7 linked regions of the Ovis aries genome follow. The main gene of each other region encodes a partner of the protein of the gene in region 2 in a complex. Links are inferred from orthologs where the notes say so. Each region holds a gene or a part of one and is shown on either strand. Other genes may lie near its edges. The genes, in order: POLR2E, UXT, ASDURF, RUVBL1, DNAAF10, PFDN6 and PDRG1.

Evidence for each region.
Region 1: UXT (region 2) and POLR2E share a complex: the UniProt entries of both Homo sapiens proteins name them as parts of the PAQosome complex. The link is inferred for Ovis aries from reciprocal best matches to the Homo sapiens genes UXT and POLR2E.
Region 3: UXT (region 2) and ASDURF share a complex: the UniProt entries of both Homo sapiens proteins name them as parts of the PAQosome complex. The link is inferred for Ovis aries from reciprocal best matches to the Homo sapiens genes UXT and ASDURF.
Region 4: UXT (region 2) and RUVBL1 share a complex: the UniProt entries of both Homo sapiens proteins name them as parts of the PAQosome complex. The link is inferred for Ovis aries from reciprocal best matches to the Homo sapiens genes UXT and RUVBL1.
Region 5: UXT (region 2) and DNAAF10 share a complex: the UniProt entries of both Homo sapiens proteins name them as parts of the PAQosome complex. The link is inferred for Ovis aries from reciprocal best matches to the Homo sapiens genes UXT and DNAAF10.
Region 6: UXT (region 2) and PFDN6 share a complex: the UniProt entries of both Homo sapiens proteins name them as parts of the PAQosome complex. The link is inferred for Ovis aries from reciprocal best matches to the Homo sapiens genes UXT and PFDN6.
Region 7: UXT (region 2) and PDRG1 share a complex: the UniProt entries of both Homo sapiens proteins name them as parts of the PAQosome complex. The link is inferred for Ovis aries from reciprocal best matches to the Homo sapiens genes UXT and PDRG1.

What each region holds. Positions count from the first base shown.
Region 1 is NC_056058.1:41,257,705-41,261,735, forward strand, and holds the start of POLR2E (DNA-directed RNA polymerases I, II, and III subunit RPABC1), read right to left. Parts: upstream 2,801-4,031; 5' UTR 2,736-2,800; coding exon 2,679-2,735; intron 1,237-2,678; coding exon 1,062-1,236; intron 253-1,061; coding exon 137-252; intron 1-136. UniProt on the Homo sapiens protein: DNA-dependent RNA polymerase catalyzes the transcription of DNA into RNA using the four ribonucleoside triphosphates as substrates.
Region 2 is NC_056080.1:57,168,696-57,172,913, reverse strand, and holds the start of UXT (protein UXT), read right to left. Parts: upstream 2,801-4,218; 5' UTR 2,734-2,800; intron 2,548-2,733; 5' UTR 2,539-2,547; coding exon 2,441-2,538; intron 1,452-2,440; coding exon 1,370-1,451; intron 1,237-1,369; coding exon 1,169-1,236; intron 903-1,168; coding exon 795-902; intron 135-794; exon of another isoform or gene 1-134. UniProt on the Homo sapiens protein: Involved in gene transcription regulation. Acts in concert with the corepressor URI1 to regulate androgen receptor AR-mediated transcription. Together with URI1, associates with chromatin to the NKX3-1 promoter region.
Region 3 is NC_056055.1:119,676,120-119,680,058, reverse strand, and holds the start of ASDURF (ASNSD1 upstream open reading frame protein), read left to right. Parts: upstream 1-1,139; 5' UTR 1,140-1,218; coding exon 1,219-1,308; intron 1,309-3,503; coding exon 3,504-3,557; intron 3,558-3,939.
Region 4 is NC_056072.1:59,390,488-59,394,648, forward strand, and holds the start of RUVBL1 (ruvB-like 1), read left to right. Parts: upstream 1-1,361; 5' UTR 1,362-1,435; coding exon 1,436-1,576; intron 1,577-4,161. UniProt on the Homo sapiens protein: Possesses single-stranded DNA-stimulated ATPase and ATP-dependent DNA helicase (3' to 5') activity; hexamerization is thought to be critical for ATP hydrolysis and adjacent subunits in the ring-like structure contribute to the ATPase activity.
Region 5 is NC_056056.1:40,186,417-40,189,916, forward strand, and holds part of DNAAF10 (dynein axonemal assembly factor 10), read left to right. Parts: intron 1-7; coding exon 8-109; intron 110-2,278; coding exon 2,279-2,394; intron 2,395-3,099; coding exon 3,100-3,234; intron 3,235-3,500. UniProt on the Homo sapiens protein: Key assembly factor specifically required for the stability of axonemal dynein heavy chains in cytoplasm.
Region 6 is NC_056073.1:7,615,388-7,618,555, reverse strand, and holds PFDN6 (prefoldin subunit 6), read right to left. Parts: upstream 1,794-3,168; 5' UTR 1,762-1,793; exon of another isoform or gene 1,702-1,761; intron 1,621-1,701; 5' UTR 1,539-1,620; coding exon 1,475-1,538; intron 1,235-1,474; coding exon 1,164-1,234; intron 1,086-1,163; coding exon 961-1,085; intron 711-960; coding exon 581-710; 3' UTR 501-580; downstream 1-500. Other genes in the region: WDR46 (WD repeat-containing protein 46), read left to right, coding at 2,198-2,266, 2,366-2,560, 2,670-2,750, 2,883-2,995, 3,120-3,168. UniProt on the Homo sapiens protein: Binds specifically to cytosolic chaperonin (c-CPN) and transfers target proteins to it. Binds to nascent polypeptide chain and promotes folding in an environment in which there are many competing pathways for nonnative proteins.
Region 7 is NC_056066.1:61,137,078-61,141,145, reverse strand, and holds the start of PDRG1 (p53 and DNA damage-regulated protein 1), read left to right. Parts: upstream 1-1,268; 5' UTR 1,269-1,364; coding exon 1,365-1,451; intron 1,452-2,955; coding exon 2,956-3,031; intron 3,032-4,068. UniProt on the Homo sapiens protein: May play a role in chaperone-mediated protein folding.

The sequences.
Region 1 (4,031 bases), on a different chromosome or scaffold from region 2:
TCATCTCACATCAAGAAAGGTAAGTACCTGTCAGGATGCTCCCAGGGTGGCTGGGAGCTAGTGTGGCAGCCGGTCCCCGGGCCTGGGGACAGAGGTGCTGGCCAGGCTCCATCCCACCCTGGCGGGGCAGGCTTACCTGCTTGGCAGAGGGCGTCATGCCCTGCTGCACCACAATGAGGGCACGTGTGATGTTCTCCTCCTGCATGCGCTGACAGTACACCTTGATGGTCTTGATGCCCACCTTGGGCTCCTCTGCAGGCAGAGCACAGGCTGATCAGTGCTGCAGGGCCCCTTCCCATCGGGCACCCAGGTTCTAGCCTGGCTCTGCCAAGGCACTGCGGTGCCACTCCCACTCTTGGGCCTCAGCCTCCCCGTGTGCAAAGCAAGAACTGGGCAGCTGGTTCCCAGAATGGGGGAGCTGGCTGCCTCCAGGTCACATGGGAGCTGACAAGTGCCCTGGGTGCCCTGGACCTCAGGGACCTCTTCTGGAAGTGGGGTCTGGGAGTCTGGGCTTGGCCAGGGCTCAGTGGCTCTGAGGTTTGGGAAGCCCTGGATTTGGTTTAGTCTTGGAGTTCATGAGACAAGGGCTGGGGTTCTCAGAGGTAAGCTGAGGTGAGCTGACCCAGAGAGTATGGTCCTGCCAGACACAGACCACCCATCTCCATGCCGTAGCACTGGGGGTCCTCATGGTCTTGGCAGCATGCAGGGCCTGCCACAGAACAGCCGGACCCTAGGAGCCCAGCAGGTCAGCACCTAGGGCAGCCCCAGGGTCTGTGTGCAGTATGTCCGCCCCTTCCAGCTGCTCTCACTTCCCATTCCACTAACCCACTCTGCCCTCAAAGTCCCTCTGTTGGGGTCCTGGCCCTGGAATCTCAGAATGAAACTGTATTTGGAAATGTGATCTTTAGGCCCAGAGAGAATGGATGGGTGATCGAGAAGAGGGAAGCTGGAGAAGGGGTTCCCAGAGCAAGGAGGGCAGGGGACAGAAGGATAAGGGTGGGTGCATGACTCTGGGGCGCACAGCAGGTGGCTGCTGTGAGCTGGCCCTGAGCAGCCCTCACCTGGGAAGAAGACGAACATCTGGTCAGTAGGGTCGTCGTTGTGGGCCACCAGCACCGTGAGGTCCGTGCGCCTTGGCCGCCCTTCACTGGGCTTGTCCCCAAACTGGGCCTTGAACTCCTCCAGAGTCTGGTCCAGCTCGTCCTGGGTCACCAGGTAACCACGGTCATGGCACAGCTGCAGAGAGAAAGGGCAGGTGATCGATCGCACAGTGGAGATAGGACAGCAGCCAGAGCTCCGGTGGCCTCACCCACCGCAGAGGAGACTGGGGAAAGGCCTGGGATGCAAGCGGAGATGTTGAGTCCAGAGTCAGGCCCCAGGGCGTAGGTCTGACAGGTACAGCAGGCTGGGCGGGTGTTGGCTGTGAAACCAGGCAAAAGCCTGAGGCCCAGCAGTTCAAGGTCCTGCTCAGAAACTAGGGCTCTGTGAGCACACAGACTAGGTGAGGACCCAGACAAAGGAAGGTTGGAGCTGCCACCCAGCCCTGCCCACATCCCCCACCCCCCGCCGAGTCTCCATTCAGAGACCTGGGTCTCCTCTCCCGCAGCCCCGACACCATCAGGTAGAAGCGCAGCTGCTCCCGCCCTGTCTTGAGTAGCTCTGCCAAGTGTTGAAGAGGCTGGGTCATAGCCCAGCCTTAGCTCCAGCACAATTCCCAGGAGGCTGGGTGCTCTTGATCAAGGCCCCAAGTCTTTGTGGCATCACACTGGACCCCTCTCACATGGTGGCTTAAAGCATGTGGTACACAGAAAAAGCTGGTGTGACTGCTGTGACACTGAGACTGAGTTGGTGGGCAAGGCATCTAAGTAACCACCAGACAGCAGTCAGACCAGCCCACCAGGGTTCCTTCCACCGTCAAGAACCCGGGATTCTGCGTTATGCACTTACGGTGGTGCTGATAAGACAGGCTGGGAGCTGGGACCCTTTGCGGCAGCGCCTGCACTTGGACAAACATCTTCTCCAGCAACAGAATACCCAGAAACCATGCGGGACTAAAAATAACCGTGCAATTGCCCAGCTCGAGCAAATGATAGACAACAACAGAAAGTCAAAACCTCCACTTCTGAGGTGCCGGAGCAAAAGCTGGGTGCCAGGCCTGATCCCTGCACACAGCACCACCCAGAGGGTAGGCAGACCACCCGAATCATCACTCTGGCATGACCCCTGGACCCGCGCCCACCCTCATCCCATTATCCCATTCAAGACGACCTAAGAAGGGCGCCTGTTGCTTGTTTTCGCTCCCTCCTGCTGCAGCATAAGCTCCAACAAAGCCTTGCCTGACCTTCTAGTCTGGCCTGTTATCAATTCTTACTGATTAAGAACTTCAAGGATCAGGGGCTGTAACACCACAACCCTCCAGAAACACAAATACAAGGCGGCCCAGCGTCTCCCGCCTTCCCTCTCTCCAGCTCGAGCGAGATCCTGACCCCCTTCTCTGGGGGCTCTGGGGCTCGACTCCTCCGCTCCAGCCGCGCCGCCGCGGGTGAAGAGGCTCGTCCTCATCAACGGGCCCTAGCACCCGCCGTTCACGCCTCGGCCGCCACGTGCCCAGTTCGTCTGGCGCAGCCAGGCACGCCCTCACCGCGTTCTCCAAGGAGGGCTGCCTCCGCGCGGCTCACCTGCATGATGGTCTTGCGGATCTTCCACAGCCGGTATGTCTCCTCCTCATCGTCCATGATTCCCGCCGCTCTCACACACTGCGCCTGCGACCAGCACGACCAGGGCCCACAGTGCCTACTCCGAGTCCTGATCAGGCCCCCAACACGTCGTCTACCCGTGCAGGGCTGTCGCAGGCGAACGCCTGAATACAGCGACCTTCGGGAGCGGCACTGCCAAGGGCAGCCCTAGCCTTCCTAAAGCGGCGGTTGGTTGCGCGAGCAGCTTTCAAACAGCACCGCCCACCCGCCCCTCGGAAGTTCTCGCGATGCTTTGACGGCACGGCTTCTCGGGAGTGGTGGTTTTTGCTCAACGTCAGTCTGGACAGTGTTTAGAATCTGGAGAGATTGAGGAAGTGTGAGCGGAGCCTCGGTTTTCCGTTTTGTATAATGAAAAGAATAAAGTGTCCCCCATTTTAGAGGATCTAAAGAGATGCTCGTACTTGGGAGGAGCTTGGTATAGTTCCTGGTGCTTACAAAATGCAGCTGAGCCCCAGCCCAGCCCCTGCCTGGATACCCCAAGAGTGCACAACCTCTGCATCGGCCCTTCCCCTCCGAGTTCGTTCAGGAGGTTTGTTCAGGCCTGCTCAGCCCAGCTTACTTGTGTCAGTAACTTCTCATTCAGTAATATATTAATTCAATGATTCAGTATTTAATGAGGAGCCAAAGAGACGGGGAACAAAACAGACCAAGCATCCTTACATGCCAGGGAGAGACAGGACAGAAACAGCGGACATAAGTAAATGATACAGCGTGTTAGAAGGAGACAGTGCTGTGGAAGAAAAAATAGAGAAGTCTCAAATGTGGTCATGGAAGGTTCCAACAAAAATCCAAAGGGTGAGAGGGTAGAAGCCCTGGGGATGTCGAGGAAAGTGTATCAGGTAGAGGGTACAGCATGTGCAAAGGCCCTGAGGCCTAGCATGTTGGCAGCAAGGAGGCCTGTGGGTCAGAGGGTCAGGTGGGGCAGATCTTGGGAGCCCTTGCTGGTTGGGTTTGAGAAGTTTGTGCTTGCAGCCATTTTCAGCATCTCCACAGGGCAGAAACAGGGAGACCAAGGAGTGGGCTAGGGAGGACCGTCCCGGCCAGAGATAGATGAGGCCTCAAGTGAAGGATGAGCTGTGGGCAGGTCTAGGGTGTCCAGAAGGCAGCGCTCATAGGATCTGTAGGTGGACAGGATGTGGAAAGACACAGAGACAAGCAGAGGAGGAAGAACAGACCTCGGTGGGGAGGCATAGAAGGCAGATCTGGAGCAGATCTTGGATATGGTGAGCTTGGGACTCCTGGGGGACCCTACGGGGAGCATCCAGGGGACAGTAG
Region 2 (4,218 bases):
TGACTTGAGACGTAGACAAAATCTCTCCCTTTGCAAAGCTTATATCCTAATGGGAGCAGGCAATGAACATTATAAAAAAGTAAATCACACAGTAAACATTAGGAGGTCATAAGTGCTACAGAAAAAAAGAAAAAGTAGAACAAGGGAGGGGAATCAGGAGCGCAAGGGTTGCAATTTTCAAGTTAGGTTATAGGAAGTGACATTTAAGCAAGACTTCAAGTGAATAAGGAAAAAGGAAGCCATGCATATATCGGGGGGAAAGTGCTGTAGGCAGACAGAGAACAGTTACTGCAGTTGTGCTGAGGTGGGATCACTTTGTGGGCATTTAAAGAAGCCTGTGAAGGTTAATGTGATGAGAGCACAGTGAATGAGCAGGAAAATTAGCAGAAGGTGAAGTCAGAGGTAACTTGTTTTACTGTTACTGATTTACAGGCTGAGACCTCCAGGATCTGGTCAAAACTGTGCTGATGTGTAATAGTTATAGCCCTTGTAGAATGTAAGCTTTCAAGGAATTCTTCTGTCTTGTTCATACTGCCTCCCCAACACCAAGCACAGAGCCTGGCATACAGCAAATGCCCAATAAGTTTTTGTGTGAGTGAACAATACAGAGACCATTTATTGAGTACTTATTATGTGCTACACCTGGGGCTAAGCTTTGCATCCCCACTGTTCTCTCCCCTAGAGAGAGGGGAAAGTGGTTCCTAGGTACCATCCCAGGTAGCCAGGGTGAAAGGGGGAAGAAGGATGTTACAAATGGTGTTGTTTTAGACAGTATCCTCATGCAATGGACTTACTCTGTGAGGAGATTGCTCTTACGATCAATGAACTTGAGAGCTTCTGCCAGTGTCAACTCCAGGAAAAAACCATATCCAAGGGCCACATAGATCCGTGAAGTGTCTGGGCTAAGGAAACAGTGGTGATCAGAAGTGGAGAAGTCCTTGTCACTGTTTAGCATACTACACAGTTTAATATTTATTTTACTCCCCATCCTCCACCTTCCCCAAACTGAAGGTCAGGGTGGGCAGATAATTTGTCCTATTTTATTTACTGTCACATCTTCAGCACCGAGCAGTGTCTGGTTCATAGCAAATACTAACAAAAGTATTTGCTGAATGAAGGAAAAGGGAAGCTGAACCCTGTGGGCTCAGAGGGGCAGGTAGATACTCACACCACTGTGTCAACGAAGAAGTTACAGCCCAAATCCACTTGCATATATAACTCCGAGTGATTAGCTTCCTGTGGGGCCAGGGAAAAAGAGGTAGGGATCAGTGGTCAACTTTTAGGTCAGGTGACAGGTTTTGGTCTTGGGTATCTCCTCTCTTCCCCCTCCTTTGCCCACAAAAAGACTACCTAACCCTGGCATCTTTACCTGGAGTCGCTCAATGACATTTCTCAGTTGAAGGTATTTGGCCAGCTGCTCATATACCTTGTCGCGATGGTCCAGGACCTTTCTGATGGGACATGACAGGACAAGAGTAAAATGGTGACCAAGAGGAAACCCTGTCCCTCTTGGAATATCTCACACCATGAACCCCTGAGACTCTCCTGTCACCAGAGTCTAAACAGGAATTTTAGTGCAGAAGTCAAGGTTTGGCCTCTGGGTCAGATTGCTTCGGTTTGAATCCAGGCTTTCCATTTTACTAGCTGTGTGACTTTGGCAAGTGAGTAATCTCTTTGGAACTCAATTTCCCCATTTTAAAAATAGGAATGAGGAGTATTACTTCATAGAGTCATTAGGAGGATTAAATGAGTATTTACTATAAGGCATTTAGAATAGTGCCCTCCAAACAAATTTCTCTATATGAGTTAGCTCTTATTTACAAGTATTATTACACTCTACTCCCAATGCCTCCCTCCAATCAGAATATGACATTCTCACCCTAGAAAAAAATCCTCCATCTCTTTTAGGAGCTCATAATCCTAGACCTGAACACTCTCCTTCCTGCTCTGATTAATAATGATAGTAATAATAATTTTTTATACTCATTGAGCCTCTAGTATCCAAGTTAAACCCTTTACAAGGACTGAATACACTGAAAACACAAACCCACTGCCGTGGGGAAGGCTGCATTAACTTCCCCATTTCACAGATGAGGAAACTGAGGCACAGCAAGTGGAGGCGAAGTATGTATTCACACGGAAAGCAAAATGGTCAAGCCAGGATTCGAACCTGAAAACTCCAGCTTCAGAACTCTAATTCTTAACCCTTTAAGGTCATCGGAAGCCGCGCATGCGCGTACACAGGCACCATTAAATCACCAAGTCTCCCTCCTCACCCGACGCTGCACCCCGGATATCGCCCCTCCTTCCTCCTCGAATGGCGCACGGGGCCGGGCTCTGAACGCCTCACCCACCAATCAGAAGGCCAGGCCCTGACTTCGAACGCCCCGCTCACCACGTGGACCGCTCCAATAGCTCCGCCCCCCGTTCTGTCACTTACTGCAAGTCCCGCTGCAGCACGTCAGAGATGAAAGCCTCGTAGCGCAGCACTTTCTCCGCCGTGGCCTCCACCGCCCGCCGTTTAGGGGGCGTCGCCATGATGGGCTCCTGAGGAATGGGGAGGGAGAAAGACCACGTTGAAGACCACTGGTCTCAGTTTGGTCTCAAGCACAGTGCAACTGCACCTTTTCAGTGTTGGGAGTTGAGTCGTCCGGCTTATGCCGAGGGTTCAGCCTTCCGCCCCTCCCAGCTCTGGGACCCCATCACACAGGGACACCCAAGCGCTGCCGTTACCTGAAAGCCGCCGGCAAAAAGAAGTGTTAGTAAGAACCGTGGCTTCCGGGTGGCGCGGGTAAATGACGTACGGCGGGGGCGCTGGCCAACCAAATAACCAGGGTGGGTGAGGCAGTCCTGAACGGAAAAAAACGCCGGAGAGAAGGAAAGGGCGGGGCTTTAAGAAATCCGCTGATTAAGAAAGGCTGAAGAGCGTGGGAACCTGGACTGCGCAACAAGCCTATGGGGATAGTGCACTGTTGCTGGGGGTGGGGTTTAATGGGATTTGGCGGGTGCCGGAGGTGGCGGTACACACAGAGCGAGTACAGCTTTTGGTGTTTAAAAGTCAGAGCTTCAGAAGCAGCCGGGCAAGAAAAGATTATGAATGTGGTCTGTAAAAAGGAAAGTATATCCTTGCATCGCCCTGGATTTTGAGTTTTCACAAGGGAAGCTTGGGTTTGACTTTCAATAATGGAAATAAATGTCAGCATTAAACATAAGTTTTGAAAAGGAGACAAATTTTCTGATATGCACCTTTGACGACTCCAGCTCTGTAGCCCGCAGTCCATGACTGGAGTTCAAGCAGAGGTTGATAACGCACTATGTCTAATCAGTTCAGTTCAGTTCAGTCACTCAGTTGTGTCCGACTCTGTGACCCCATGAACTGCAGTACGCCAGGTCTCCCTGTCCATCACCAACTCCCGGAGTTCACTCAAACTCATGTCCATCGAGTCGGTGATGCCATCCAGACATCTCATCCTCTGTCGTCCCCTTCTTCTCCTGCCTTCAATCCCTCCCAGCATCAGAGTCTTTTCCAATGAGTCAACTCTTCTCATGAGGTGGCCAAAGTATTGGAGTTTCAGCTTTAGCATCAGTCCTTTCAAAGAACACCCAGGGCTGATCTCCTTTAATGGACTAGTTGAATCTCCTTGCAGTCCAAGGGACTCTCAAGAGTCTTCTCCAACACCACAGTTCAAAAGCATCAATTCTTCTGCACTCAGCTTTCCTCACAGTCCAACTCTCACATCCATACATGACCGCTGGAAAAACCATAGCCTTGACTAGACGGACCTTTGTTGGCAGAGTAATGTCTCTGCTTTTGAATGTGCTATCTAGGTTGGTCATAACTTTCCCTCCAAGGAGTAAGCAAAGCATCTTTTAATTTCATGGCTGATCACGTCATTTAATTGGGGCGTCAAATAGAGGGTTGCTGAAGTCCTCTGCCCAAGATAGGTTATCTTGTCATTAGAAAGAGTTCCTATGTTTTTATTTAAATGTGTAAACTTTGTATTTATTTTTATGTGCTCAAATTACCGAATGGATTTATTTCCTATGTTAGATTTTCAAATAATAGCCTCTAACTCAGTAAGTCCAGGCCTGAAGAAGAACTCCAGTGCTGGATCCCCCAAATGATACTTCTGGCTGCAGGCCCTAGAGCACCCAGCGTATCAGGGAAGTTTTCCCAGATAATTTGTGGGTTTGCAGTCTAAAACCAAGCTTTGTTTC
Region 3 (3,939 bases), on a different chromosome or scaffold from region 2:
GTTGAGCTTTAAGCCAACTTTTTCACTGTCCTCTTTCACTTTCATCAAGAGGCTTTTGAGTTCCTCTTCACTTTCTGCCATAAGGGTGGTGTCATCTGCATATCTGAGGTTATTGATATTTCTCCCGGGAATCTATTCCAGCTTGTGCTTCTTCCAGTCCAGCATTTCTCATGATGTACTCTGCATAGAAGTTAAATAAGCAGGGTGACAATATACAGCCTTGATGTACTCCTTTTCCTATTTAGAACAAGTCTGTTGTTCCATGTCCAGTTCTAATTGTTGCTTCCTGACCTGCATATAGGTTTCTCAAGAGGCAGGTCAGGTGGTCTGTATTCCCATCTCTTGAAGAATTTTCCAGTTTACTGTGATCCACAGAGAGGCTTTGGCATAGTCAATAAAGCAGAAATAGATGGTTTCCTGGAACTCTCTTGTTTTTTCAGTGATCCAGCGGATGTTGGCAATTTGATCTCTGGTTCCTCTACCTTTTCTAATACCAGCTTGAACATCTGGAAGTTCACGGTTCATGTATTGCTGAAGCCTGGCTTGGAGAATTTTAAGCGTGTGAGATGAGTGCAATTGTGTGGTAATTTGAGCATTCTTTGGCATTGCCTTTCTTTGGGATTGGAATGAAAACTGACCTTTTCCAGTCCTGTGGCCACTGCTGAGTTCTCCAAATTTGCTGGCATATTAAGTGCATCACTTTCACAGCATCATCTTTCAGGATTTGAGATAGCTCAACTGGAATGCCATCACCTCCACTAGCTTTTTCGCAGTGATGCTTTCTAAGGCCCACTTGACTTCACATTCCAGGATGTCTGGCTCTAGGTGAGTGATCATACCATCGTGATAACCTTGGTTTTTTCCTAGATAATAAATATTAAGCGGTGTTTCTACTGAGCTTCTATTCTTCATAGTCACCACTAGGGGGCGCATATAATTTACAGTCTACTAGATGCCACAGGGTAAAGAGCGTTTCAACATCCCAACCGCTAGGGTCCGTTCGGGCCCCTAACTTGTGCGCACGCGCGCGAGTACTCCTAGCCCAGATCCGGCCTGCGCAGGCGTTCCAGTGAGCACGCAGACGCCGTTGATAGGACTCACCGGAAATTGAAAGGGAGGGGCTGGGCCGCGGGGAGCGCAGACGCGCAGGGGCTGCGGACGCGGAACTGCTGGGGTGCCGCCCGGCCTCGCGCCCTGCCTGTTTGCTTCTCCGCGGAGATGCCCAGCCGGGGTGAGCGACCCGAGGACGGCGCTGGGCCCGTCCCTGCTGAGAGCTCGACCCTGCACAAGGACGAGCTCAGCAGCAAGGTGAGTGCGGGACGAGGTAACATGGCCCTCGGGCTGCTCACCGCCGGAGACGAGCCTCGGTGGCCGCGTGCTCTAGTCTCGACTTTGCCCTGCTGCGAGAGGCACAGTTAAAGGGACACCTTGAAACTTGCCCCGAGATTAGACCCAGATGGTAGTAAGGCGGAAGTTTAGTTGGTTTTATTTTATCAATTTTTAACATATTTTAAAGTATCATACAGTAAAATTTGGCTCTTTTTCGTTTTCTCTGTATTTAACACGTGTCTAAATTTGTGTGACCACCGCCACAATTGGAATATAGACAAGTTCCACGACCCTGAAAGACTCCCTTTATAGGCATGCTCTCCCCCGCCCAGAACCTCTGGCCGTCCCTGATCTGCTCTACATCAGGACAGTTTTATCCTTCCCAGCACATCATGTAGTGAAATCACAGCTTATGCCTCTCCAAGCTTAATGTCTTTGAGATTCACGGTTGGATTTTTTTCTATGTATTCTTAGTTAAAACTTTTAGAAATTACCTCCCACCCTAGATCTGCTGCCTGCGGTCTCAGAAAATGTCAGCGCCATCCATGCAGTTGTCCATGCCAGTAACCTGGGAGCCCATCTTTGCATCCGTCACGAAGTTCTGTCCTTTGTAAGGTGTCCCTTTATCACTGTGTACACTTTTAACCATCTTAAACCCGCCCCTTGCATGTGCCATAGGGAATCCTGCAAAAGTTTCCTAACTGGTCTCTCCTTAGCCATTGTTGCCTTCTTCTCCCCTATCCTTCATTTAGCTGGAGCGGAGAAGGCAGTGGCACCCCACTCCAGTACTCTTACCTGGAAAATCCCATGGATGGAGGAGCCTGGTGGGCTGCAGTCCATGGGGTCGCTAAGAGTCAGACAGGACTGAGCAACTTCACTTTCACTTTTCACTTTAATGCATTGGAGAAGGAAATGGCAACCCACTCCAGCGTTCTTGCCTGGAGAATCCCAGGGATGGGGGAGCCTAGTGGGCTGCCGTCTCTGGGGTCTCACAGAGTCGGACACGACTGAAGCGACCTAGCAGTAGCAGCAGCAGCATGCTCCTAAAAATGTTATTTCATTGTTGCTCTTCTGCTCCTCCCCTCACAAAAGGGAGCCAATATAAGGCCATAAATGGAAAAAAGAAAAAAAATTTTTTTAACATTTGAAATGAGGATGGCTATAATCTTTCAGGTAATAGATGTCTAAGATAATACTTTGGTTCTGTCCCAAACTGACACTGGCATCTTGGGCACATCTCTGATTCCTCTGTTACAGTTTCCTTGTCTGAAGTTCTAAAGTATACCTACCATTCCTAAAATGAATGGGAAAGTGCTATTCAAACATAAGCCTTAAAAGGAAGTTGTACAAATTCAGTCTTGGAATTCAACTCAATCTCTGTAATCAGTCACTACAGTGACTGGCAGCTGGAAAGCAGAAGGGTACACATCTGTGGGGAATGAATTTTCAGACTGCACACAGCCTGCTCTGATTCCTACCATAGCATGCCCTTTACTCTTGCCTGGTGGGCTCCTCCATGGGGTTGCAAAGAGTCGGACACGACTAAGCGACTTCTTTCACTTTTCACTTTCATGCATTGGAGAAGGAAATGGCAACCCACTCCAGTGTTCTTGCCTGGAGAATCCCAGGGACGGCGGTGCCTGGTGGGCTGCCATCTCTGGGGTCGCACAGGATGGGACACGACTGAAGCGACTTAGCAGCAGCAGCATGCCACTTATACTGATGTATGACAGATCCCCAGGCATCAGAGGTTACAAAATAACACTGTTTAGAGGCTATGGTGACACTGTGTAATCAATCATGTTTGCAGTATCACTATCATTACTGAAAAGAGTTTAAAAGAAATTTAGTTTCCATTTAGTTGAGCCCTGCTACTGCTAAGTCACTTCAGTCGTGTCCGACTCGGTGCAACCCCATAGATGGCAGCCCACCAGGCTCCCCCATCCCTGGGGTTCTCCAGGCAAGAACACTGGAGTGGGTAGCTATTTCCTTCTCCAGTGCATGAAAGTGAAAAGTGAAAGTGAAGTCGTTCAGTCGTGGCCAACTCTTAGTGACCCCATGGACTGCAGCCTACCAGGCTCCTCTGTCCATGGGATTTTCCAGGCAAGAGTACGGGCTCTTATTGAGCATGCTTTGATAATCTCTGATTTAGTACGTTTTCTTTATTTCAATAGATTAAAGAACAAAAAGTTGTTGTGGATGAACTTTCTAACCTGAAGAAGAACAGGGTGAGTTATTAGCATTACTCTGAATACTATGTGGGAGGATTTGATATCAACTGTATAAATCTATGTATTAATCATAGTTGCTGATAATCTTTCCCCAACATATGCAATTGACATTACCTGCGAATCAAATGATACTGATTGTACTATGTTATCCTGGAGCTTTAGTCAATAATGGTATTTATTTTGTACTTGAATTTGGTGTATTCTTTTGACATAAACATTGAATCTGTTGAGAAGAGGAGAAGCTATACAAGTGAATGTGGATAATTATTTTTTGTTTGTTTATTTTTTAAAAAAGATAAATGCTACCACCTCCTCTCCCTACCTCCTCAGGTTTTTACTCCAAGCTTCCAAATCCTTAACGTGGTTATTTAACTCCATT
Region 4 (4,161 bases), on a different chromosome or scaffold from region 2:
CATTCACTGACAGAAACCACTACCAAGTCCGGTTAAGATCCAGTGTGTAAAATACACGCAGCAAAACTGCCTGACTCCGTGGGAACGGGGGGGGGGGGGGGGGGGGGGGGCGGGGTTCCAGAACCGGGCAGAAGCCTTAGCTATGAGCCAGACACTGACGCTAAAATGACGGACAGCAGCGACGAGGTCTGCGCTTTCACAGCGCCTGCAGTTTAGTGGGAGAGGCTGACTCTGACCGGACAGTCATGCAAGTAACTGGAAACCTAGACTCAGAAGTGATGACGGAGAAGCGCAAGGAGAGACGAGAGTCAGCAACCACTGCAGCACGATGTGGCTTCAGGCCTGTCTCAGCCCCGATCCAGAAAGGCCCCCCTGAGCTCTGGGCAAGTCCCTCGTTTCTCTGGACCTGAGTCCACTTACCTGCGACATGGCAAAGCACCATCTTCTCCTAAGAACGTTAGCCTGCCATCAGGGTTCCGTGTGGGCATTACCATATCACCTTCTGGTGCCTTCCTAGGCTCTCCAGCTGTTCCAGGTGGCCTGCTTGGGGCTTGCACACCTCACCATCGCAAGCTTCCCAACTAAGGACTAAGCTTGTTAAGGCTGCAGACTTTGTATTTAAGCCTGCATCGTGGAGTGTCCGGCTCAGAGCAGGTGCAAACCAACGTTTATTGAACGGATGGGTGGATGGGAAGAGCACACTGTTCCAGGCAGCGCTGACATTTTCATGGAACGGACAGGACGCAGCCGCGGGATGACCGTCCAATCCGAGGGCTGGGATGAGGGTCCCACAGGCTGCCGCGCCTTAAGCCCTCAGCAGAAATTCCAACTGCTGATTACTTGCTGCGCGCTCTTGGGTGACTTGCGGGGCCTCTTTGCGCCCGCATCTTCATCCGGACTAGGAATTACCCTAAACGAGTAAAGCGAGAGGCGGAGGCGAGGGGACGCAGAGGACAGGCCCCTGAGGACGCTGAGCACGGCCTCCCCGAAGACGGCGGCAGGAGTGGCTGTCAGAAAGCTGCTCAGCCGGCGCAGGTCGAAGCTTGAGTTCTAAACCTGTCTGTTCGTCTCCGACACCGAGGTCGAACTTGAGCTCCGCAGAGCGGTATCGGTTCGAACGCGCTCACGGCCGGAAGGCCCGGTGAAGAGCGGGACGCGCGCCCCTAGTGAGCCGCAGCGCCGCCCGGCTAGTCCCTACCCAGGAAGGAAGCGCCCCCCGCGGGGGAAGCCAACCGTGGGACACCGCCGGAAGCTGGTGGGCGGGCCCTACCGGCAGCCGCGACGGGCGCAGCCAGGAGCCAATGGAGCGCGGAGGCGTTCCCGCCGCGGCCAATGGGACGCCGACCTAGGCGGGACCAACCGCCTGGTAACGGCCTCGTGGTGACGGGGTGCGCGCTGCCTGGGCTGTGCGGGCTCGGGGGCTGCGGTTGTCAGGATGAAGATCGAGGAGGTGAAGAGCACCACGAAGACTCAGCGCATCGCCTCCCACAGCCATGTGAAGGGGCTGGGGCTGGACGAGAGCGGCCTGGCCAAGCAGGCGGCCTCGGGCCTCGTGGGCCAGGAGAACGCGCGTGAGGTGTGGCGCGGGCGGCGGGGCGGGCCTGGCGGGGCGGCGGGGCGGGCCTGGCGGGGCGGCGGGGCCGGGGCTGCGGCGGGGCGGGCCTGGCGGGGCGGCGGGGCCGGGGCTGCGGCGGGGCCGGGGCTGCGGCGGGGCCGGGGCTGCGGCGGGGCCGGGGCTGCGGCGGGGCCGGGGCTGCGGCGGGCGGCGGGGCGGCGCGGAACCCTGCTCTCCCGGACCGCGCGTTTCGGACACAACGTTTAAACCGCCCAACGGGAGTGTTAGACTTTGGGGACGGGCTCTGGGGGGCTTTCTGAGAGCGCATTGCGAGGCCCTGGGATTTTAAAGCCGGCAAGTGGCCAGGCTCGGCAGGTGACGGGTACCGAGTCCTTTTTGACCATTCCACTTAAAGCCCATATCTACCGAGGGATGGCGGTGCCCGGTCCTTTCTGCTGCATTATTATCACAGAACTATTCAGGCTCTTTTTTTTTCTTTTTTTTAATTGTTGCTTTTTTTGTAGATGAAAAAATTCAGGGTGAGAGACCTGTCCACCCAGCCCCCTGGCGACTCAGTTTAGTAACACTGGAGTTTGTGCCTGTGTTTCTGACTCCTGAGACAGTGCTGTCTGTGTAGCAGTCCCCCTCAGCCCGTTGCCAGGACCTCTGCTGTGGCTCAGCAGCTCTCAGTCCAGGCCAAGACTCTTGCCCTCTAGCCTAACTGTGCTAAGAAAGGGCCAAAGAGAAGCCTCCATTCTGGACACCATGCTTGCAGAGGGGAAACTGTGGCAGGATTAAGGTGACTAGCTTCTCTTTATCCAGCCTCAGCTGTCTGAGAGGCTATCACTGCAGAGTCGCTGCGTCCTCTCCACGTGCTAAGCAGCCCCGTTTCCATCGTCCTATCGTCCCCTCCATCCTTAGACTGCCCCTCTCTGCTTTTTTATGGCACTCTTCTGACGTACGGCAAAACTGAAAGAGCTGTGTACCTGTGTGCCCAGGTTCTACAAGCGACACTTCACGCCGTTGCTTGTCTTCTGTCTGTCCATTTAGCCCTCCAGCAGGCTGCCTTTGCATGTCACGCTCAGTCGCAGACATTAGTATACTTCACCGTAAATCCGATAGCATTCGGGCCTCGGTGTTACGAATTCTGTTTTTGGACGAGAAAACTGTGTTTCACAGAGATCAGGTTATGGGTCTCAGATTACTCAGCTGGTGCTTGGCAGAGCTAGGCAAGGCAGCCTGACTCCAGAATCCACGCTGTTAACTCAGCTGCTATGTGCCTCCATCTGAATATGAGCTTCCCAAGGATAGAGACCGGGTGGTGGTAAATATCCAGAACCTGGGTTATGATAGGGACTCAGAATTTATGTGCTGACTTATTAGTCATCCCACCGCTGCCGCCAGGTCCTTGTTTGGGTCTGGTCACATCACCAGCCTCCTTGGTGTTTAATAGGCTCACCTGAAAAATGAGAGTTACAGCTCTCTAAAGGCCCTTCCAGTTCATGCTTTTTAAATCTTGGAATTCACTGGAAGAAGCTCACTGGAGAGAAGGAACCTAAATGGAAGCATATTAACGGGAAGAGGGGGTGTGTGAATAAGAGCACACAGACAAGGCTTGAAAAGTCTTCCTCCTCTTTGAATCGCCCAGAGCTCCAGTGCTGAGGGTTATGAATGATGTCAGAGGTCACTGTGGAAGGACCTCAGTGGCTCCTTTTTCTTTCTGAAAATGCGACCTCTGAAGAATCTCTTCTGGGCTGTGAAAGTGTGCCGTGCTCTCCCAGCTGAGCCAGAAATGGGGTGGAGCACGTCCACGTGGTTTCCGTGAACCTGTGTTTTGAGGGGCTGTCTAAGTGTGAGAGCAAGATACGTCTCCACAGTCCGTGGGGAAAAGAGAGAGAAGAGCAGGTGTTCACAAGACGTTGTCAGCAAGGTGCTGTCCAGGGAGAAAACCTGTGACCTGCCTTGAGACAAATGGAATGCACCTCGGAGAGAGGCGCGCTTTGAATCGTGTAAGGGATCTTGTGTAGTCTCAAGATACAGGAGTTCAGGGAGTGTGACTTTCTCAGCCTTGCTCCAGAAATGCTCTAAAACGCATACAATCAGCAACCCGTTTATAGACTTTCTGTGATGGACATTCATATGTGTGTCAGTATACAGTGGGCCCTTGAACAGCATGGGTTTGAACTGCATGAGCCCACCGCATGCAGGTCTCTTTCAGTGTATAAGTGTTAGGACCCTTGGCTGCCGTCACGGATGTGCAGGGCTGGCTGTAGAGTTATGTGCTGATTTTTGACTGCGTGGAGATTGCGCATCCCAGCTTCAAGGGTTCGTGGGTCAACTACACATATGGATGTATGTGATTATACATATAAATACACACACAGTGTATATGCTGTACAGAATGGCTTAATACTCAGAATGTTTACAGTACGCTAACAACTAATTTAATCTTTAGGATTTGAAAGGCAGTTCTTGGGTCTTATGATGCCATAGATTAAACATCACATGTAGCGCTTGCTTGCAGCCTCCTGGGATAGTTGACTGATGGCCAACTAGTAGAGTGTGTCATTGACTCTTAGTACTTGGTGGGTTAATTTGAGAATCTA
Region 5 (3,500 bases), on a different chromosome or scaffold from region 2:
CTGTCAGGAACCGTAAAGGTGTGGGACCCACGGCAGAAAGATGATCCTGTTGCTAATATGGAACCCGTGCAGGGAGAAAACAAGAGAGACTGCTGGACTGTGGCATTTGGTAAATTACCGATGGACTCTTACACCTGAAATGCCAGATTATAAAAAGCACAGTGCTTCAGGAAAGTCCTGATAGTTTAGAATCTCTTCTGTACATTATTCTGGCAGTTTATCGAGGCAGATAGACATGGTGATTGGGCCTGGGTTTGAATTCTCACTGTGCTACTTAACTGGCTTTGTAACCTGGGGCAAGTTATTAGGCTTCTCTGATTTTTGCTTGGTTCATTTATAAAATGAAAGTCATAATAGAATTTACTTAATAGTTTTGTTATGAGGATTCAGAGTTAATACACGTAAAATGCTTAGACTTGTGCTTAGATATCAAGTGTTCAAAAATATGGAGTATTATTATTTATTTTTGTTTAACCTGGTGATATTGACCTAGTTTAGAACCCAATGCCATTAGTGAAATTAAGTAGAGCCTTAGATGGTAACCTAACCAGTCTCACATTATGCTCTACACGGTGTGTGTTTATTTTCTAAAAATAGTTATACTATTATAAAATTATATCTTACGAATTTTATAACCATGTTCCTCTATTAATATACTTTTAAAACTAAATTACCACTGAAATTGGGAGATTTCTATGTGTATATATTATAATTACTATGTGTGTATGTATAAGTAATGATATAAGCCAAAAACATGTACACTTGGGAAGAAATTTCAGAATTAGTGTTTAGAATCATCATGTAAAATTTATGAAATAATTAAAAAATAATTAACTTTGGGCCCATTAAAGGCTTTTTAATCATTGTTCTAAGGGATGTAAGTGCAGTTTTAAATATAGGACATTAAAGAAAGGACATTTATCGGAAGCAGATTCTTATTTTAAATTAAAGAAGCTGGTAACTTTAATAAAAAGTGCTACAAGTATAAAAGGTGCTCTAATGTATAAAAAGTGATACATTAATTGTATTACTCCTACAAGGTCAGAGTGATGAAAGGTCACAGAGGCATGGGTCAACACAGAAGGAATCCCAAGGCAGCCAAAAGAACATATTGACCTCAGTCCAAGGATTTGTAGGATTTGAAACACTGAAATGGGGAGATTTCGAGTATGTAGAAGGAATGGAGGTAGGACTAGCCTTAAAGGTGGCACGTGGCCACAGCCAGAGGCGTTTAGATGGTCTGGAGGTAGTGGTAAACCTTCGCAGGCTTCTGCAAGGAGGAGATATGATCAGAGCTTTAGCTTTACACTGTGGCCGGGTAGGCGGGAGGAGTGGCAGAGGAAGTGTGAGTTCTGAAGCTCTTTGCAGTATTCCAGGAAACATGTAGGGTTAAGAAGCAGTGAGAATGGAACAGAGGAGTGAATTCAGAAATAATGTGGCAAAGAAAAAGAAAAAGAAATAATGTGGCAAAATAAATACACTTTGGCAATTTTTTTGGAGATGAAGAACAAGGGAAAGGATTATGTCCAAAGTGACTGAATTTTGAGGTTGACTATGAAGTGAATGATGTTTATTGAAGGAGTTCCACAGAGTGTATGATAGTTTTTAAAGGAAGACGATGACATCAGTTTTAGACATCAGAGGTTTCAGCTGCTGTCATGTCATCTCAGTGAACCCTCCAGTGGAAATGCAGGGCTGGAGTTTATAAGAAGAGGGAGTAATCCAAAAAAATTCCTGGATCCGAGCAAGGTGAATTCAACTGCAGGTTGTAGATTTACTTCAATTGTGAGCATCAGATAACACCAGAACAACATTTTGCAAAATAAATAAGTTTAAAGTAGTTTCCATTTGCATGCAAAGAAAGCATTGGAAGTGTAACTGTATTTATTCTACCGAACCCTGCTATGTTAAATTGTTAGTCTTTGCAAATAGAGTATAGAAAGAATATTTGGTTTCAATTTAAAATCCAGTAAACACTTTCTTTCATATATCTCTTGAGCACAGAATCTCAATAAAGAGTTTTTTTGGTAAACAATATCAGAGACTAAATTAATAATCTTGATGTCCTGTAGGATTAGTAAAATGAGATTCTATCCAATGTGACTTCTTCACTTGATTTGGTACAAGTTACCTGTGTAGTTCTGTAAGATTATTGTTTTGTTTTTTATTGGAGTATAGTTGATTTACAATGTTGTTAGTCTCGGATGTCCATAAGTTTTTTAAGCAGCCTTCAAATCAGCATTTAAAAAGATCTGAAATGTCATGTCCTGATTTCCAGGCAATGCTTATAATCAAGAGGAACGTGTCGTGTGTGCTGGCTATGACAACGGAGACATCAAGCTGTTTGATCTCAGAAATATGTCCTTACGGTGGGAGACAAATATAAAAAATGGGGTAATCTGCATTTGCATTCTTTGCAGTTTCTCTGAATGTCTTTTCCACGTACCTCTGAACTACAAAAGGAAAGCACCCCTAATAACTCGTCTCAGTAAAACCCCTTTATGGATGGATGGTTCTTAACCTTTAGGGTCTGTGAAGTCCTTTGAGGATCTGATTAAAAATCAGGGACACTCTTCAGAAGGAGAACACACAGCCAGGTGTGGTGTGACAGTGCCTGGTGGGTCACCGCCCCTGTAGCCCATCTCTAGATGCCTGTGGGCTATGCAGTGTGATGTTAAAGTGAGCTGGTACCAGGCCCTTTTCTGGTAATATCAGGAAGACCAAGACTGTAATTGACTCCCAGGTACTCACAGGTTTTTTGGTTCCCGGGTTGTACATCTTTAGTGAAGAATGTGGTTCCTTCCTGTTTCCTCTAGTCAGCCTTGACTTGACTTTATAAAATCATTATGTAATAATGGTAAAATGTTAAAGTATGGCTTTCCAAATGTACCTCAGTGCCTGAGATGATTTTGGGACCTTACTAACCGAGAAGAAAATTTTCTAGTTACAAGTATTCGGTATACAGATTCAAAAGATAAAATGATTTTTTTTAAAGTGCTTTCACATAATCCAATAATGTTACAGTTGTTTTACTTGGTTTGAAAGAAACTCTTGGATATAATGATTGGAGCATCACTCATAAATATTCTCTATTTTCAGGTGTGTAGCTTGGAGTTTGACAGAAAAGACATAAGTATGAATAAGTTAGTAGCTACATCTCTGGAAGGAAAGTTTCATGTTTTTGACATGAGAACACAGCATCCAACCAAAGGTTTTGCTTCTGTTTCAGAAAAGGTAAAGATGAGGGAAATATCTTTCTATGAAGAGGAATGTTCATATTAATAGCTTGCTTTAGACTAATAAATAGAATGAGTCACCAGGTTCCTTCCAGGTTTTTTGCATGAAGGGAGCTATTTTTAATATATTCTTATAGGATCTTGATAAGTTATTCTGTGCAAAGAATACTTTCCTAAAGTTTGTCAGTTTCATATTTCTTGATTATATTAATAATAAAGGCCTTCATTGGTAATGACTATTATTTTGTAGTTTAAGAGCAATCA
Region 6 (3,168 bases), on a different chromosome or scaffold from region 2:
CAATGTACAAACTTGGAGGTCTCAGAATATCACAATGCATTATGTGCTGGGATATGAAATCCAATTTAAGCTACATTTAAACAAAGTCTAGGAAGAAAAGAGACTAAAAAGAACTAAGATGCCAGGGCTATTCTGAGGATGACAAGAAATCATAGCAAAAGAGGATTACCATGTTCCATTCTGGGACTGCAGGTTAGAGAATTGTGAGTTTTTCAATGAAACTTAACTTTCCCCCAAATTGTTTCACTGTCAATGCCCTTTTCTTGGTTGCTTCCAATCAAGAGAAGAGAGAGTTAAGGCTTGCATGTACAGGCAAGGATTAGGTTTGAGACATTTCGGAGTTTAGTCTCAAGAAAGAAGGGTTACTCTGCCACACACAAATTTCAGTGCACAAATTTGGATCTAAGAGAGTAATGCAGGTGATATAGGGGTGAGGGAGAAGGGACCAGAGGAAAGGATGGAGACAGTTACAACAGAAGTGGCTGGTCAGAACACGCCAGGTATTTTCACATTTTATTAGCTACAGTATAGACCCTAGAGCTGCCGCATTCCTCCCCCCGCCCACCCCCCCAGGACAGGGTCAGGCTTTCCCAGGAGCCCCTGCCTTTGCCGCCTGCGCCCTCTGAAACTCCTGCTGCAGCTGAGCCAGGGTCTCCCTCTGTTGTTCTGACTGCTGCTCTAGGTCTCGGAGCTGGGATTCATACCGCTTACTGAGGAAGGGCAAAAAAGCAAATGAGAAATTAGTGAGACTTACTCTTGAGGGTGCTGAAGACAAGATTGGTCAGAAACTTGAGCTCTAAGGGGAGTATGAAGAAAAGGGAAGGAGTTGAAGGACACAGGAAGGAGTTGAAGAACCTGCTCAAATGGGGGCTGCTCTGGAGAATGACTCTAGAAAGGTTTCTCAGCACCTTTATTCCCAACGGATCAAGTATAACACAGTGGGGTGGAAGGAAGACTCACATCTCAGCTGTGATGTAGTCCAGCCTTTTCCCCACTGTGGCCCGAGCTTCCCCCAGCTCCTGTTTGACCAACACGGGCCCCAGAAGTTTAAACACCACGTTGGACCCATCCAGCAGGGCCAGTTCCTGGTGGAGGAGTGGGAAAAACATCAGAATCACTTCCAAGACAGGTCCCCCCTCGCCCCACAAATCTCAGTCTCTCACCTCCTTCACGATATTATTTTCTGTTAGTTGTGCCTCTAGTTTCTGCCTCCCTGACATGGATTTACTCAAGTCTGCCGGATGAAAAGGTTTGTTTAGAGACATCTCATGTGCCACCCGACCACCACAGTCCTGGTAAGAAGGCGGAGCTGAGGAAGCAGGCAAGGATGAGCAGGCGGGACAGGGAATGGGAAGACTACAGAGAAGGGGAAGGAGCCGCAGGCTGGGGCCAGAGGTGGGACAGAATACATTATTCGGGTATAGACAGGTTGTGAGTGAATTGCCGCGAGGTCACCCCTACCCTGCTCCCTTACCCTTCTGCAGCTGTTGATATTTCTCCACTTCCCCCTGCAGCTTCTTCTGGATTAGCTCAGCCATGGCGGGGACGAAAGCCTGCGGGCAGCGGGAGAGGGGCGCTGGGTCTCACGCTCTGGAAGGTACCCGGGCTCCCCTTTCTGGCCTGCGGAGGTGACAGCCCTCTTGAGAGGCAGCCCCTCGGGCCACCCACTGCAGTCTCTCCTGGTCCGGGATATCGACTCACCCCCAGCCTCAGGGAGTGGCAGTACCCCGAACTCCTCAGCCGAACCGCTCCCCTACTCACGCTCTCACTTCAGTATTGGTGAACCCGGAAGTAAATAGAGAATGCTGGGGAAAGACGGCACCGGAAGCTGTGAGCCGGCGCACGCCGGGAAATGTAGTTCTAATATGGTCAATGTGTGGCGTTCTGCTAAAAAGACCAGAAGCGGAAGGATTTAAGGCAAGATGGAGAAACCGAGATGGGAAAAGAAACTGCAGGGTTGCTTGGGTCTTGGCCTCGGACTGCCCGTCTTTCATCACTTGGGCATAAGTTGCCGCACTGGGGGCCTTGGTCCCGCCCCTCAGTGGGGAGCGCGCCCTCATTAAAGATGGCGCCTAGGAGGCTTCAGACCTGGAACGGCGCTGATTGGATGAGTCTCGGAGGACTTCCGGGAGTTTTCCATCACACTGTGGGACTGTGGAGAGGAGTTTGCACGTGGATCGTGGTTCGAGTGGGCTAGATGGAGACAGTCCCCAAGCCGGGCAGTAATGTTCCACCCAAGAAGGACAGACTGCAAGCCAAGAAGAAGGTAGGGATCTCCTTGGGGTGGAAAGGAAGTTTTTATTTGCGGGGTTCGAGGGGCGGGGCGAAGGGCAGCGGAATACGAGGGATCCTGCTCTGTTGGTAGAAACCGCGGCGATACTGGGAGCAAGAGACCACTGGGACTGCGGCCGGAGCTTCTCCAGGTCCCCCTCATAAACGGAAGAGGAGTCGAGAGCTCCGCCCCCAGAAGCCAAAGAGAAATGACACCTCAAAGAAGTTTCGGATCTCCAAGAAACCCCGAGAACTGAAGAGTCCGGGGCCTCAGCGGACCTTTTCTGGGGTGAGCCTGGGACCTCCCGGGGTGCCGAGGCAAGTCGCCTTGTGCTTTCAGGGTCGGGGGGTTGGGGTCAGCTCGAGCCTGTTTCTTAATTGCCTCCTCCCTGCCGCAGGCCCAGGACCCATTTGCAGGCCCCGCCCCTGTCAGTGTGGAGGTGGTTCGGAAGTACTGTCGCATTGACAAATCCAAGGAGGTGAGGGCTAGTCGGAGAGTGGGGAGCGGTTGCAGGAGGGAGTGTCTGGGTGAGTTGAATGGAGGCGGGGCTCTCCTGTGACCCCCGCATCCCTTGGTCCTTCTCTCACTTCATCTCTCACCGCTGTTTTAGCTACCACATGCGAAGACCAAGACACGAAGCCGACTTGCGGTGGCTGAAGCACAAGAAGAGGAAACAAGTGTCAGAGCTGCTCGATCTGAGCTTCTGCTTGCTGAAGAACCTGGGTGAGTGGACCCTGATGTGGGCCTCCCCAATCCCTGATTTATGGGGCTCTAATTTCTGATTGTGATGCTGGGATACCCACTTCTTATTAGGAAGCTTTAATGCAACTCTCACGCTCACTTGCAGGTTTCTGGAAGGAGAGGATGGGGAGGACACGGCAAAGATTCGCCAGGCT
Region 7 (4,068 bases), on a different chromosome or scaffold from region 2:
CTGGTGAGCCCTGTTTCTCCTTTGGCAAATGTTCCTCCTTCCTTCACAAGGCCTGTGTCTGCGTTTCTGAACCAGAAGGTATTTACACAAAACATCCTGGGTTTGGCGACAAATTCACCCTTAATGAGGAATCCTTAATGAATCTCCTTCTTTCCCCATGCCAGGTGGCTGCAGGGAAAACTAACTGCCTCATCAGTTCAAGGAAGCCAAAGGCCAGGCAAAGACAGGGTGCTTCGAGGACTTTTGGGGCCACAACTTGGTGGAGGGCCTTTCTTCTTTCAGGATCCAGAAACAGCTGTGGTCTAGAAGCTTGAGCACTCCTGGACCATGTTTGCTCCTGACTTGCCGTGGGACAAGGAACAAGCCTCAGCATGCAGCTGCGAGATGTGTAATAACCCACCCATACAAAGATGGTTGTGAAATTCAAGGAAGGCAAGGGGTGTGAAAGGGCTTGGTTACAGTGGCCAAAAGGAGAGCAATACAAGCTGGAGTCAGGGAGACAAGAGGTCAGAGCTCTAGTACTGGGTCTGCTGTTGACTTTTTAAAACCCTCACCACCCTCTGAACCTTGGCTTTTCCAGCTGTACAGTGAGGGGTTTGGGTGTGAAGATCTCTAGGGAATCTTCTGATTCGGAAGGGCAGCCACTTTCCACCTGCCTACTTCTTCTTGGAAATCTTCCCAGCTCCTACAGCCCACAATGATTCACTTTCCAGCATTTCCAACTCTTCTGAGCTGGCACTTCATCACTCACCGCCCTTCCTAGGGTCTAGGTCAGCTATTCTTGACACTGGGTCCAACACAGGGGCTCAATGAAAGTAGAGGTCAAACTGAATTTTAAGACTCCTGCCTCCTTCCAATCCTGCGGAAACACAATGAGAAGGATTTTTATTCACTCTCATTTTATAAATCAGAAACTGCTACACTTGCTTCCTTGGTGCTCCTCAGGCAGGGGAAGAATGGCTTGATTTCTCCAAAGCCCTATCACTGCCTCCCATAGTATATAATTATTTGTTTTGTGATCAATTGTTTATGTTACCCACTAGATGAAGTTGCGCGAGGGGCAGGGACTTCGTTTTGTTCACTTCCGTATCCTCAGCGCCTAAGAACTATCCTAAGGGAGGGCGAGGTTAAGAGGTTTGGACCTGCAGGGGGCGCTCCAGCCCCGCCCCCAAGCTAGGCCCCGCCTCTCGCGTCCGCTTTCGTGCGAGCTTTGGAGCCTGCGCGCCTCCGTTCTTCTTTCAACTGCGCATGCGTGCCGGAAGCCCTGTGAGAACGGCGCGTGCGCGGACGGAGCTGCAGTGCGGCAGAGCCGGAGGTGAGCGCGATAGGATAGCGGCGTAGTGGAGTCGTGACTGGTAGGCATCATGTTGTCGCCCGAGGCGGAGCGGGTGCTGCGGTACCTGGTGGAGGTGGAGGAGCTCGCCGAGGAGGTGCTGGCGGACAAACGGCAGGTAGGAGGCCTGTCCGCGGGGCTGGGGCCCGGGTTTTGCAGTTGGGCCTGCGAGCTCCTAGGGCAGCGCGCGGGGTCCGGAATCCGGCTCCAGCTTGGGCTAGCTGTGAATTGACCTACTCTTGTGGGCCAAGGGCTGTGACGACAGACCGGGCGGTTGTGAGATCATGTGGGCCAAATGTCGAGTGCGTGGCACAGCGCCGCGCTTGACTCCTGTATTTGGCACATATTAAGCCCGTCTGTGCCAGGCCTTTCCTCTCTCGCCATCCTTCCTCTGCCCTTTGCCCAGCTTTCCGGATCCCGACCCATTACCTCTTGGGGCCTTTGGTTTACCTGAACCGCTTTTTCAAAATGCAGTTTCTGGGCCCCAACACTGACCTGGGCTGCACCGCTCCAGTCCAGGCCAGAAGAGGAACAGGAAAGAAGTCTGAGTGGTCTAGTAATCGCGCAGGAGTCGGGACGTGGGAGAAGTGTGGGGCCCAGGCCACCGGAGGGCCGTGGAGACCTGCACAGGGAGTTTAAGGCAGCTTGTGGTGGGCAGAGAGAATGATATAATGGATTGAGGCTTTGAAAGATCCCTCTGGCTGCTCTGTAGAGCACAGACTATAAGAGGGGAAGGGGTGAATGAGGGGCCAGGTAGGGGATGGGTTTGGGCCTAGGTGGTGGTGATGGGTCATCTCCCTTTGGAGATGGCCTCCATGATGCTGAGGTATAGGGGTGAGGGAGTAGGAGGGATCAAGAATGATTCAGACTCCTCATCTCCAGTTAGAATGATTGGGTACTTGGTCAGTTGGGTATTAAGGGAGAGCCTAGTAAACACTGCATCAAGGTGTGCTGGCTGACAAATAGCAGTTAAAGTTGATTGAGTACTTACTGTGTATCAAGTACTGTGCTGACTTAGTTCCTAGGTTAATAACCTAGGTGGTGGGTCCTCTTCCTGTCCCTGTTTTTCAGAGAGGTGAAGTCACACCGCTCATAGCAAGCTGCAGGATTCAAACCTGGGTGTTCTGCCCCAGAGCCTCCACTGCCAGGCAGTAGTACTGCACTGCCTCCTCACTTTCTTAGTAGCCATTTTGCTGTGACCACTGTCTCAGTGCCTTTCTGATGTAATATTGTTGTTTTTCTCAGGATACTCGGTCAGAATCAGCTGGAGGAGCTTGTTCAGGAAGTGGTTTCCACTCCCCTGGTGATTCTGAAATGCCTTGAAGCTTGAGAACTAGTGCTCCCGTGGATGATAATAAAAAATTACCCATTTAGTCACTAGACATTTCCCCAGCTCCTCCTCTGGGGGGAAAGACACCTGGATGAAGCATCGTCTTTAAGGAGCTGGAAGCTGAGTGGGGGAGGGAGTACCTTCACACCTCTGTCCGCTTTAGGCAGGACATTAGAATTAACCGAGGAATGATGCCTTGTCGTCTTCGTCAGGTTTTAACAGCCCTGGTCTGTTGAGGGTACAGACCCAGGTAGGAGGTAACTGAGTTCCCTCCTGCCCCTGTGCTTTTCAGATTGTGGACCTGGATACCAAAAGGAATCGGAACCGGGAGGGCCTGAGGGCCCTGCAGAAGGATCTCAGCCTCACTGGTAAGCCTAGCTTCGTTGTTGCAGCCCAGGAGGCCTGTTCAGTTTACCTTCTACTGCCTTTGACTTATTCCTGTTAGAGACCAGGCAGGAGGCCACAGGTGTGTGGCACAGCCCGTGGAGATGGGAGAGATGGCATTGCAGGTCTGACCTAGACTGTGGCTCAGGATTTCAGTTTCTTACCTCAACCAGCAGGTTGTTAGCTGCTAGCTTATCAATTGATGACACTGGGAAAGTGCTGGGGGTATAAAAACAGTGCAGTTCCTGCCCTTGTGCTCTACAGGTGAGTCAACAGCATAAATACAGAACTGAAAATTGTAAGAAAGCTGCAGAAGGAAGTGAACACAGGGTTGGTCTTGGATAATGGGATGGTGGCTCTTTAGATGAGGCTAAGTGGTGGTGATGGAGGAAGCAATAGGGGAGGGGCAAGTGATCATGCTAGAGAGATGGGCAGAGGCCAGGCCATGATGAAGGGCCTCAGGAACCAAGCACTTAAAGTGCACTGGAAAGCCTGAACCCTTCCAGTGTCTTGTCTCCCCAGAGTAAAATCCAGAGTCCTGCAGGGCTCCGTGTAATTTCGCTGAACTCTCCCACCTTGTCTCCTCTGCTCTCACGCTCGCTTATCAGCTGCACCCTCACCGTTCTCCTTGCTGTTCCTGACACACCGGCACGTTACTGATCCTTGCTGTTCCTGGTTCCTCTGCCTGGCTTGCTCTTTCCCTAGATGGGTGTCTGCAGGGCTTGCACACTCCTCACTTTTGTCAGGTCTCTGCCAGCATGGCACATAATCTGTAAGACCTTCCAAGACTGCCTGGTATAAATGACAAGCTCCTCTTTTTGGCATTCCCCATCTCTCTTTCCCTGCTTTAGTTTTCTCTAAGATACCTTTCAGGGTCTGATGAATCATATCTTTATTATCTTGACGTTGTTGTATATTCTCTCTCCTCCACTCTAACAAGCTAGGAAGGCAGGAATTTCGTCCTGTTTTGCTGTGTTTTCAACATCTAAAGCAATGCCTGGCATCAAACTATTTGTTGAAG